Drosophila melanogaster: one gene and its partners. The protein of the gene in region 1 interacts with the protein of each later gene in a biochemical or structural test. Each region holds a gene or a part of one and is shown on either strand. Other genes may lie near its edges. The genes, in order: GNBP1, PGRP-SA and PGRP-SD.

Region 1 (4,536 bases):
CTTCCTGTGATTGCACCACGTGCTTCCAATTTTTCAAAGGATTTTCACTATCTCCAAAGGACTCGGTGACAATAGCCTACCGCTGCAGCTTGCAGCTGATGGGTTTGTCTCTAGTGAGGGAAATCGCGGGCAGGCAGTATTTCGTAGAGCTACGTAGCTTCTTACAATCTCTACTTTTCTCGGATGATGGTAGGAATTTCCGCAGAGGCTCTACCAAAGCACTGCTTTCTCCCAAGGATCTGATCCTGAAGCTTTTGATCACAGTTTCGTTTTGATGGGTCTCTACGACGGCGGATATTTTGAGGGTACCACTGCCCAGGTATTCCCGTATAGCCTATAGTCATAGAAGGGACACTTGTCCCCTTCGAACTCAGTGTAAAAGAGCACCGACCTAATACGATGATCTTCTATTTTACTTATTAATAGATTGTAGGCAGCAAAATGTGTGGCCATCTTACCTGGAAGCGATGCCCAGATCCATGTATCGTTTTCAGTGACATTCACCAAAAGCTGAAGAGCCTGAAAGGAATCAAAGCCGACCAACTGGCTTAGTATTAATGCCCAGACTCATCTCCATTCTGTCAGATAAGCAACCATACTGAAGCATTTGATTTCACTGAGTTTCTCTTAGGACTTTATTTATTTATAGATTTATAGATTTCGATCGGCACGTTCACTTATGTGTAATTTTATAAACATCTACCTAAATCATGGATTTTAGTTATCAGTTGGCGAAGACACGAACATAATCGATCTTCAAGGCCGGCTGTTTCCATGTGGGTAGCCACTGGTCTTGGGCCTGGTGGAACTGCAGCTTCGCCTGGGGATGATAGTTGGCCCAAGGCTTCTCATAAGTGGCGGTGCGAAGATGGTCCACAAAGTCACCAAATCCGCCCACAGAGACGCCCAACGAAATGTAAAACTGAAATGGGAGATAAATTTGAATTAAACTTGTTAAATTTAGATCACTAGGCTTACCATTTTATCGAACGGGGCCATGGGACCGCCCTGCTTCCACCTGGGATTCTCGTCCAGTTCAGTGAAACCATTCAGCATCTCTCCATAGACCTGACCATCTACGGAGAAGAGCAGCCTATTGCTGCTCCAATCCAAGCTGTAGGTGTGAAAGTCATCGCCGAAATGGGATATCTTTCGCTTGCTCAGCCATAAGTCCTCCCTTTGGTGGGCATCCGTGGAGAGTACGGGTCCTCCGTATAGGGATCTACCATCTACAAGCTTTCCGCGCGGCATCCTCAGCACGGAGTTACCCCTGGCCAAGGCCACTCGCAGCTGGCCGGATTCGTAGCCCGATTGCCCGTACCATTCGGTGAGGGGTTCGAGTAGTAGGAGTGGTACCTTATGAAGAGTGGGAAATATTAATTTCAAAGCTAAGACGTTGTAGTTGCATAATCTCACTTACTATCCAATCTCCCTTTGGTAGCTTGGCACGGATCTCAATGCGTCCGTATTGAAAGGCAAAGGTTTCCTTGGTGCTGATTCGAGGTGTTACAATTGGGGGCATTATCCCACTGGGTCCACTGCCCGTGGAATGCAGGATGCATTCCTTAATTCTGTTATGGGTTCCAGTACAACGCTCCGATAGATCGAGCCTGGAGTTGGCTATGGAGAGATCCGGGCGATAGCTGGACCAAAGAAGCGGCTCAATCACCAGGTTGCCATCGTGAACTTTGGCCTTCCCGTCGTACAAGACGAACTCTGCATCCTTGGAGTCGAGGGGCAGGCGAACATCATGTATCCACAGAGATTCATTCAGCTGATCAAAAGTCTCCTCAAACAAAAGTTGTCCCTTACATATGGAAACACCGATTTGCGGCGAAACCTGGCTTTCAGAAGGTTCACAGACGGAGGGAGCGGTGGGTTCCAAAGCACTGTCCTCAGTACTTAGCTGGTTGTCATCCGTAAAGTCATCATCACCGGGCGAACATCCCCTGGGCCGATACTCTCCGCCGAGATTGCAGACTGGCAGGGGCTGCGCCAGATCTTGATACACAGCCTTTTGGTGCTGCACACTTGTCCAAAGGTATAGAACATCTTGGGATCTCAAGGGAACCGAACTGAAGTTGGTCGTCCACCTGCCGTTCTGGGGTTCAGTCAATCTCACATTGTACTGTCCCTCGTTTATGAAGGATGTGAAATTCCGATTGCGATTTACATTAAAGGCCACCACTTTTACGCCCTCTTCATCTAAAAAGAAAAACAAAATCGGATAAATTAGCAAGTTCATTTGCTAATTTGTAGCTGATTATAACTATAAACTGTCAACATTGTTCGGTTTTTTATTGCTCCCCAGAGATCGTAAGGTTAAGAAAAAGATTAAGAAGCTATGTACTACGAGGCTGGCTCATTCCTTACTTACCCGGTATGGAAACGCTAAATCCAGTCTCAAGGAGCTCCACAGTCGGTGTGGGGATCTTGTAGGCAGTGGTGCATCCAAAACCAATGAGCAGAAGGATTCCAATGCACAATCCTGGCATTTTGAATCCTCGAGTTCAGCACTTTTCGACAAGAATCCCGAGCCTCTGACTCAATCTGTGTGTCTATCTCACTGGCAGACCGGTTTCTGTCGCTGGTGAGGAGCGATTACTATTATTTGTTTACTTTAAGTTGGTCCGGACAATCGCGATTCGGCGAATGCAAATCCACGTTGATATCAGCTCCGGCTGCGATCTGGCCTCTCTGGGATTTGGACATTTTTTAATCATTCCGTAGACCCCGAAAAATTAGTTCTAACGTTGCCCCTCCTCAGTGATCCACCTTCGAGTGGAAGCTTAAACAGCTGATGAGATAACAAAAGCTCGTTTTACACGACTAAAAATGAATGCTTACAATTTAAAAAAAAAAATCAAAATATTATTTTTCAAAGAACTAGGAATTAAATAATGTATTAATGGGCTTTTATTCTCCTTATTCCGCTTACTGTTAAAATAAAAGTTCATTATATTTATAATTGAATAATAATTGAACAAAGTTAATATTTAATTCGAGTGCAGCTTTAATCGAGAAAAACTTGAATCGGGACAAGCTTTTGAGATCAATATTTTCAATCTGATGCAACAGTCCCACCGCAGAGCTTCTCAGATTAATACGCTAATCGGATTCTAGTTAGTACACATATTAAGAGTAATTAAAACTGCGTCATGAGGTGGGAATTTCTGCCATGTTTATTATTGCTCATTTCAAACAATAAAATCTTTGGTTTTAAAGTACCCAGTATTAATTTTGAAATGCTAAAGGATGAAGGATTCGAAGTGTCCATACCAGGTGACTTCTACAACACTTCTATGGTTAAATAAATAACATCATAAATGTCAATGGTTTGGCTAATTTATTCATATGGAAAAAGCTTTGAAGTGTATTTGAAAATCCACTATAGGTTCAATAGTAAAAACTACGTATATAAAACAAATAAATTGGTGGATTAGCAAAATCAGCCTAGACTAAGTCTTATTTGAATAATTACTTTTAGTAACGACACGTTGTTGCTTTTTTCATATCGATCCAGATGAGCCTGGCATACAGCGGGTGTTCTACATGTTCCAAATTGACGACACCTGCCCGGCTCTAATGGACTACATCACGGAGGCAGTGAACGGAAGTTGGGTCTCCAAGCAAAAGATGAGTCTGCAGAACAACGACAAGCTGCAGATATCAATGCTGGTGCAGTTCAATGAGGAAATCTTCGAAAAGAGTGAAACCAGGGTGATCATAAACACCCGGCTACTGACCACCAAAGACTCTAGCTCGCGAGGCATAACATTCCTTACAGGAGAGGGCGAGTGCCAGGCATACCTAGCTCCTGCACAGCAAGCCAAACGCTGCAAGGCCGCCCAAACGATAGTGAGCAATGGACGCCATACTTGCCAGGGTGAACTGATCTTTGAGGACAACTTCTCGGAGGCGCAGCTGAACAAGACCACCTGGAAGCATGACATCCGGTTAGTGAAATAAGTGGACTCATTGGATGTGTCTAAGATACTTATGTTTTACGACTTTTAAGACAGCGCATGTACCACGTGGAGGAGGAGCTGGTGGCCTTCGACGATGCCGCACGCAACTGCTTTGTGAAGGAAGGCGAACTCCATATCGTTCCCACTATCGCCACCGAGGTCACCGATGGCAGCTTCAAACTGGGAGATCGCTGTACGGCCGTCGAAAGTCCGGAACAGGAGTGCAACATTGCGCACGGCATCTTCTATAGCATCAAGCCTCCAGTTTTCTCCGCCCAAATTCACACCAGAAACTCTTTCAGTTTCAAATTTGGCAAAATCGTCGTGCGCGCCAAGTTGCCCAAGGGGGATTGGCTTTTCCCCTGTGAGTAGCATACTAACTTACCTTTTCTTGTTACGAAAACGGTTTAATTTTTAATTTATTTAAGATCTGATGCTCCAACCGGTTTCCACTTACGCGGAGACCCACTATGCCAAGCAATTGAGTAGGTTTCAAAAACTTCAAAAGCTCTAGGGTTTCCATTTTGTTGTATCCTAACTTTAAATCTTACTTTCAGGAATTGCATAT
Region 2 (3,449 bases), on another chromosome or scaffold:
TCATACAAAATTCAATACTGTTTGCAAAAGTAGCTTTAAACAAGTTGTATAAATTAGCCTACAGTTTCGTATTTGGTTTTGTGGTAAAGTAAACATTTTGAATTGTTTGCGTTAACCAGAAAAGCGAATTCGAAGCCATTTATATTTGCACAAATTGTTTCAAGTTGCAATTCTCGAACTGTATTCGATAATGCGAATCTATTTCTTTGCACAACCCACTGTATGAAATTGTTTACTAACTGGAAGACTCTTGTCACTCTTCTGCAAAGTACTTTCACATTTTTTTGAATATCCCTATTCTTATTTTGCCTAATGTTAGTATAAAGACCCTAGTTATTAAAAACAACAACAAAACAAGCCAACGTCAGACACTATTTGTAGCGTTTTCCATATACCCTTTAAATCCCTAATTAACCCGATCAGTTGTTTTCGCCTGCACACAAATGTTACTTATAAAGCATAAGAATGCAGGCACCCACCCATACACTACACTATATATTCATATATATTTTTACGTCCGACACATTTTTGTAAATTATGACAGAAAACAAAATAGAAAATTATAAAATAAAAACCACAAAAAAATACTCAACAACATTGGTTTATTTACTTTACTAAACTGATATGCTCATTCTGGCAGACTACTGCAATTACTTGTAGTTGATTTAGGGATTTGAGAGCCAGTGCGGCCACTCTTGGATCTCGTTGTATAGAGTCAGTCCGGGACTCTGGGTGCTGATCACCTGGGAGCCGGCGATCAGGGCGTAATCCTCGCTCAGCTCACCCTGCTGCACTCCGCAGGCCAGCAGATCTTTGGCCGCCTGGAGAGCCGCATCCGATGGAAGTTTATCTATCGGAGATGTTGGGCATGTAGTGCTCCACATAGCGGAGAATATCGATTTGCAACTTACCCACAAAGTTGCCGATAAAGGCTATGCCCGTGCCAATGGCATTGTATCCATAGGTGTGGGCACCGCGCAATCCCCAACCAGTGCCTTCGTATACGATACCATCGTTGCCGATCAGGAAGCTGAAAGAGATCATTATCATAATAGTTATCTTGATAATTGCGAAGGTGCCATCCGTACTTGTAACTAATATCGTTGAAGTCCAGCTCGTTCTGATGATACGCCTGCATGTTCTGGAGAATCTCGGCGCACTTGAGCAGTCCGCTGCACTCGCCGGTGACCGTGTGATGGATGACCACATAGCGGATGGGACGCACTTGGTAGTGGAGTCCCAACGAAGGCTTGCCGCCCCACTGACGCTTCAGCTTGATGGTGGGGCAATTGGCTGGCGAACGCTGACGCGACTTTCCGGCGGAGACGAATGCCAGCAGTAGTAGCACCAGCCCAATGGCCATAATCCAAGGAGATCCGAATCGAACCGGCTGCATGATGTTGATGTGCTAAGATCTAAGGCTGGATGAGAACTGCTCTCGATGGGCTATCTGCCGGATTTATCAGGGCCAACGATCCGAGCTTTCTGGAGCTTACGATCCCGCAGAGCCACAGGGGACTCCCGTCCATTAGCCATCTCCAGATCTTCCGATCCGTCGCAAATCTCCGCGTTCTTTGTTCGGTTCTTTTTGTTTTGCATCACATTTGCGAAGCGACAAGCAAAAAGCCCAAACAACAATTTAAAACGGGTTGAAAGCCGATCTCTGTGATGGAATTTCCGCTTTTCAGCTAGTGACGAATGCTTCCCTAGAAGCAGTAAGATTTGTGATATGTACACACGAATACTAACAGTTAAACTAAATTAATGATTAGCTGAAAGTCTCGCGAGAAGTTCACTGATAACAGCCGCAGAGAGCGTTAGATTTTTATTTTTTTGTTTGCAAATTGAGTAGTAAATATGTAAAAAAAAAGTATAAGTGTAGCAATATTACTCACGAATATATTGTGTATATTATCGTTCGAGCTTATAAATGAAAAGATATAGAAGGCTCGCATGCCGACATGTCGTTCATTAAATCAATTTATGGTTAATGAATTAAAAAAGAGGGCGAGGAAAAACGTATACTTCCCTTAAATAGAACGTAATGGCAATAGTTTTTGCCAAAAAACAAAAAATGAACAAACAATACATTTTGTAGGTCAATGAAATGCGTGTAAATGTTTAATACCGTCCGCTTTTCTTTACTAACTTCAATTTCCAAGGGTAAAAGTGTTAAATGCCAGCTAAAAAAAGGCAGTTTCAATAGTTTTTGCCAAAAAACAAAAAATGAACAAACAATACATTTTGTAGGTCAATGAAATGCGTGTAAATGTTTAATACCGTCCGCTTTTCTTTACTAACTTCAATTTCCAAGGGTAAAAGTGTTAAATGCCAGCTAAAAAAAGGCAGTTTCATTAGGATGAATAACTCGCGGGAAAAGTTAAAGATTCTTTTAAAAAGTAGATAATAATTGACCCCCATGCTATGAACTTGATTGCGATGTGTGTGGTGTCTATAAATTGTGAATTACTCATGGCATTTGCATTTGCATGTCTCTGCCTTAAGGTTTTCCACCGAAGGCGATCCGCATTGCAAATGCATTACGCTAACCACTGGATGCATTTTTTTATTCATTCATTCATTCTATTTTGGTTTCTGTTATTATTGGTGCTATTGATAAAAGCCGTTTGCCCGATAACTGCCACCCACTACAGGGCGGGGCAATCCGGCGTCATCTCCGCCGCACTAGCGTTACTCATCAGACTTACCGCTCAGTGTTTTACTGCTGCACTGCAAGAAAGACTATCTAATTTCGCGTTACTTCACCGAAAGTGATATTATGTTTATCAAAGTTTTTATGGCTTTGTAATTGATGATATAAACAAATGGTTATAGACATGGTATTGGATATCATTGGTAATAGATATGTTGTTTATAAATGGGGTTATCCATAAATAATGTACGAGCAGATCAATCAGATATTATTAATCATATAAATTCAGTGTGCATATATACTTTGTGGTACTAGATAGATTATGCATATCTTACATATTTATATAATAATTCTAATTCTAATATGAACACACACTAGTATTTCTTTTCAGTGCACTCTCTATCGCCCTCACCCACTTTTCTCACTCTCCACTTTCAGGTGGCGCTGAGTCAGAGAAAAAGTCCGAGGAGCTTCCACTAGCAAGTTTAATTCCTTTCTTTTTAATTGCCAATCCGTGGGCGGCCAATGAACAGTGTCAAGGGGGCGTGGCCGGGGGCCTAGTTGCACTTGAAGATTACAAATATTAAGGTTGGCCGCTCCGCTGCTTGGCTGCTCTGCCGCTCACTCGATGACATCATGACGTCAGGCGTCATTTATACCGCGCTAGCCAGCAGTCAAGTCAACTTGTTGGCGTTGTTGGCTGAATTGCCTTGCTGATACCCTGGATGAAAACGCATCCGGGTGGCATAGACCAGTCATTATTTCCAATGTTGTGGCCAAAAAACTAAATATTTTC
Region 3 (3,171 bases), about 11 Mb from region 1:
CGCTGTGTACGCAGCGTGGCGAGACGCCCGAAGGTCTGGCTAAGAGGAACTGGCTGCTCCAGCTGGACTTTGCCCAACAGAGCGGAAACGGAAGCGGTATTGGCATAGGAATTGGCAATGGTAATATGAGCGGAAATGGCAGCATTGTCGGCAGTACAGACAGTGCGAGCGGCAGTTCAAATGGGAGTTTATATTAGTGCAATTTACCTAAGTACTTTACGAATTTTGTATAGTTCCTTGTTTTATATTTTCTAAATCTGTAATCTGTAACAGCATCTGTTGCCACGTTGCCGACTTTTGTTTACCTCTCTCGTTTGGCGCATTATCTACTGCATACCATTACGACTACGACTATGTTCACGTTCGTTCCATCTGCGTTCCGTGCTTCATCTAGGGTTCTGTATAGTTAGCTTAGTTTCTTGCGGAAGTTCCGGTTCGGTGAATGATGCTATGTGATGTCTCAAATCTCTATTGTGGCCCAGTGCACTGCTCCTGGGGAGCGGCCTGCTTATTAAACGGGTCTGGCAACAAACAAAAAAGTAAAAAAAAAAAAAAGCGGCAGCTGACAAAAATGTGCGAAGTCGAAGAAGTACATCGGAAACAGATCAACAAAATTAAAATTTTAGTATTCGTATTTAAGCAAAAAAAAAAAAAACAAATTATACATAATTATATTTACAAATAAATGTGTAAGGAGTGGTCTTTACGTGTCGAAACCTTATGCAATGCACACTCTATATTTCACATTTCTTCGGACCAGTTGGGCCACTGCTGTATCAGAGCGTAGAGTGCTTCTCCAGGACTCTTGGTAGCACTGACTTGACGATGGCCCAGTAACTTATAGCCCTCCACCAGCTGAGCCTGTTTGACAGCCTGCTCCAGCAGCTCCTTGGCGGCATCCAAGGCCTCCTTGTTGGGCGCCCGTTCTTCGAAGTTACCAATAAACGCAATGCCCAGGGAACCATCGTTATTGGGACCGGCAAAGGCTCCTCTCTGGCTTGGACTTCTGCCTTCGTATACCTTGCCATTACCGCCGATCAGATAGTGGTAGCCAATGTCCGAGAACTTTTGCTTGGACATCTGGAAGTTTTGCAGATTTTGCATGTGCTGGGAGCATGTAACATCATCCGCACAAGCTCCTCCAGCTGTATGGGCGATCACAGCACGTGGCAAGGGAGTTTCCATGCTGTCTATGGCTCCGTTCGGCGGTTTGGCATTCCACTCGGCCCTCGTCACGATCGGTACTTCCCCCTGGACAGCGATTGCTGTGAGGCCAACGATGAGCAAACCGATCCAAGTCATTCCACTTGCGTGTCTGTCAACTGACTGGGTTGGGATCTTATGGGCTGCGGCACCTATTGCCGCTGATAAGGGGAGTGCCCCCAAGGAGATAGTCATCCGACCCCATATAAATGAATGTATCATACATATATGAGGGGGATTTTTCTTGCCAGTGATAGATAATTGACAGGGGGTAACGATTATAAGAACAACTAGCATAGCAATATATCGTTCTCTCAGAATTTTTCTAAATGGGTAAAATTTGCCAAGCGAAATTCCCCTAAAAACTACAAGGCCACCACAAGGGGGACATATATGTAATAAAAAGTGTAAAATGTACATAGAACTTAAATCACTTACCACGTTCTTGTGAATTATTAAATAAAAATTTGCTGCTTTAGATTATTTCATAGTTCTTACTTATTTTACACTAACACTCGCGAATCAGCAGATTGAGCATTTTTACAGCATGTTGATTTGATGTTTTTCTTTGGCGGGATGTAATATTAATTTTACCGGAACACTCGTATTTATTTAGTTATAATCCCAATCTGACACAAACTATAATTAAACCGCACTATTTTTACGCGTTTCAATAACTGATTTCTTTTAATGCGATCGAATTAAGCGTTGAATTGCGTGTAATATCGACAATAGAAAAGAAGCCGAAAAAGTGAGCATTCGCGCAAGTGCCGCTATTTCTAGCTTGTAAGCCTGCCTTCGAGCAAGAACTAACTGTAATCAATTGCCTCTCTGTAAACAAACGTAAGTGTTTGATGCGATCGAATTACTCGCCGAATTGTGAGTCATAACCAAAGAAAGAGCGTGCTTTCGCGCAAGTGCCGTTATTTCGTCTTGCTTTCTTTAATCGAATATATTTCGGTCTCTTCTTTTGCAGCAGTTCTGTTTTTTTAGTGTGCGCGGAAGTACGTTCTGTTTGTATACTATTACCTCCTTTACTTATTAAACTAACTTTAAACAGTTATTTTAATAGTTAGATTCTACACAACGGCAACGTAGAATGATTTTTTACATACATAGGTCAGCTTAAAACAATTGTGAAATACTACTTAATAGCGAATGAATGAATAAAGCAAAGCTTTGGTTTCGGTTATTATTATTTTTTTTTTTTTGTTTTTTCTTTATGTGTTTTGTGTGTGTTTGATATATACATGTACATACATATGTATGTACATGCATACATAAGTATGTATGTATAAAAATAGTGAAATGCTTATACAGGAAGCCTGTATTCTTAAAAGATAAATATGATTAATATGTATAAATACAGAGAAAGTAAGGTAAGTAAGTTTTAATTTTTTACCTAATTAAAATAATTGGTTTGAAAATAATTGTACGCATAATTTAGTGTGTTGTGTACACTAATGTACATGTACAACTTTATATTGCAATTTCAATCTGAACATCCACTATCTAATGGTACACTTTATACCGCGTATTTCCCTTAAATGTATTGAGGCCCCCCGATTTATCCCTATTTTATGCCAGTTAATACGAGCCCACAGAAACCTCAACTTGACACAGATGTTCTAGGCAGTGATTTAATTAAAAAACTTTTGCAATTAAATGCAAAAACTGCAAAAAACAAAGCGGAGTGCAGGCCATTAAGCCCCCAAAAAAGGGCGTGATGAGGAAGTGAAGTCGCAAAGTGACAACGAAAATGCAAGTAAGCGCCCTCAATTAAAAGCCAAAATGAATATAAAATGCGATGGAAAAGGGATGAGAGTTGAGGGGAGAGTGGTGGGGAGAGCTAAGCCGCAACATCCAGAAAACCCGAAAAAGCCGGGCTAAAACCAAAAACCGAAGCCAAAACTATGCGCGGCTGGAAAAACCAGCTGGTGGCGGGAAAAACTCGCCGTTAACTTGAAT

The links.
Region 2: the proteins of GNBP1 (region 1) and PGRP-SA form a complex in vitro, tested with the Drosophila melanogaster proteins (2 studies listed by BioGRID).
Region 3: the proteins of GNBP1 (region 1) and PGRP-SD form a complex in vitro, tested with the Drosophila melanogaster proteins (one study listed by BioGRID).

Annotation. Positions count from the first base shown.
Region 1 is NT_037436.4:18,673,965-18,678,500, reverse strand, and holds GNBP1 (Gram-negative bacteria binding protein 1), read right to left. Parts: upstream 2,702-4,536; 5' UTR 2,496-2,701; coding exon 2,378-2,495; intron 2,206-2,377; coding exon 1,421-2,205; intron 1,357-1,420; coding exon 979-1,356; intron 923-978; coding exon 725-922; 3' UTR 625-724; downstream 1-624. Other genes in the region: GNBP2 (Gram-negative bacteria binding protein 2), read left to right, coding at 3,159-3,282, 3,524-3,956, 4,019-4,332, 4,397-4,453, 4,526-4,536. UniProt on the Drosophila melanogaster protein: Plays a key role in innate immunity by acting as a pattern recognition receptor for beta-1,3-glucan from fungi and lipopolysaccharide from Gram-negative bacteria.
Region 2 is NC_004354.4:11,559,920-11,563,368, reverse strand, and holds PGRP-SA (peptidoglycan recognition protein SA), read right to left. Parts: upstream 1,727-3,449; 5' UTR 1,397-1,726; coding exon 1,089-1,396; intron 1,031-1,088; coding exon 912-1,030; intron 851-911; coding exon 666-850; 3' UTR 590-665; downstream 1-589. UniProt on the Drosophila melanogaster protein: Peptidoglycan-recognition protein that plays a key role in innate immunity by binding to peptidoglycans (PGN) of Gram-positive bacteria and activating the Toll pathway upstream of spz activating enzyme SPE.
Region 3 is NT_037436.4:7,649,336-7,652,506, reverse strand, and holds PGRP-SD (peptidoglycan recognition protein SD), read right to left. Parts: upstream 1,328-3,171; 5' UTR 1,303-1,327; coding exon 742-1,302; 3' UTR 607-741; downstream 1-606. Other genes in the region: CG7492 (uncharacterized protein), read left to right, coding at 1-197. UniProt on the Drosophila melanogaster protein: Peptidoglycan-recognition protein that plays a key role in innate immunity by binding to peptidoglycans (PGN) of Gram-positive bacteria and activating the Toll pathway. Has no activity against on Gram-negative bacteria and fungi.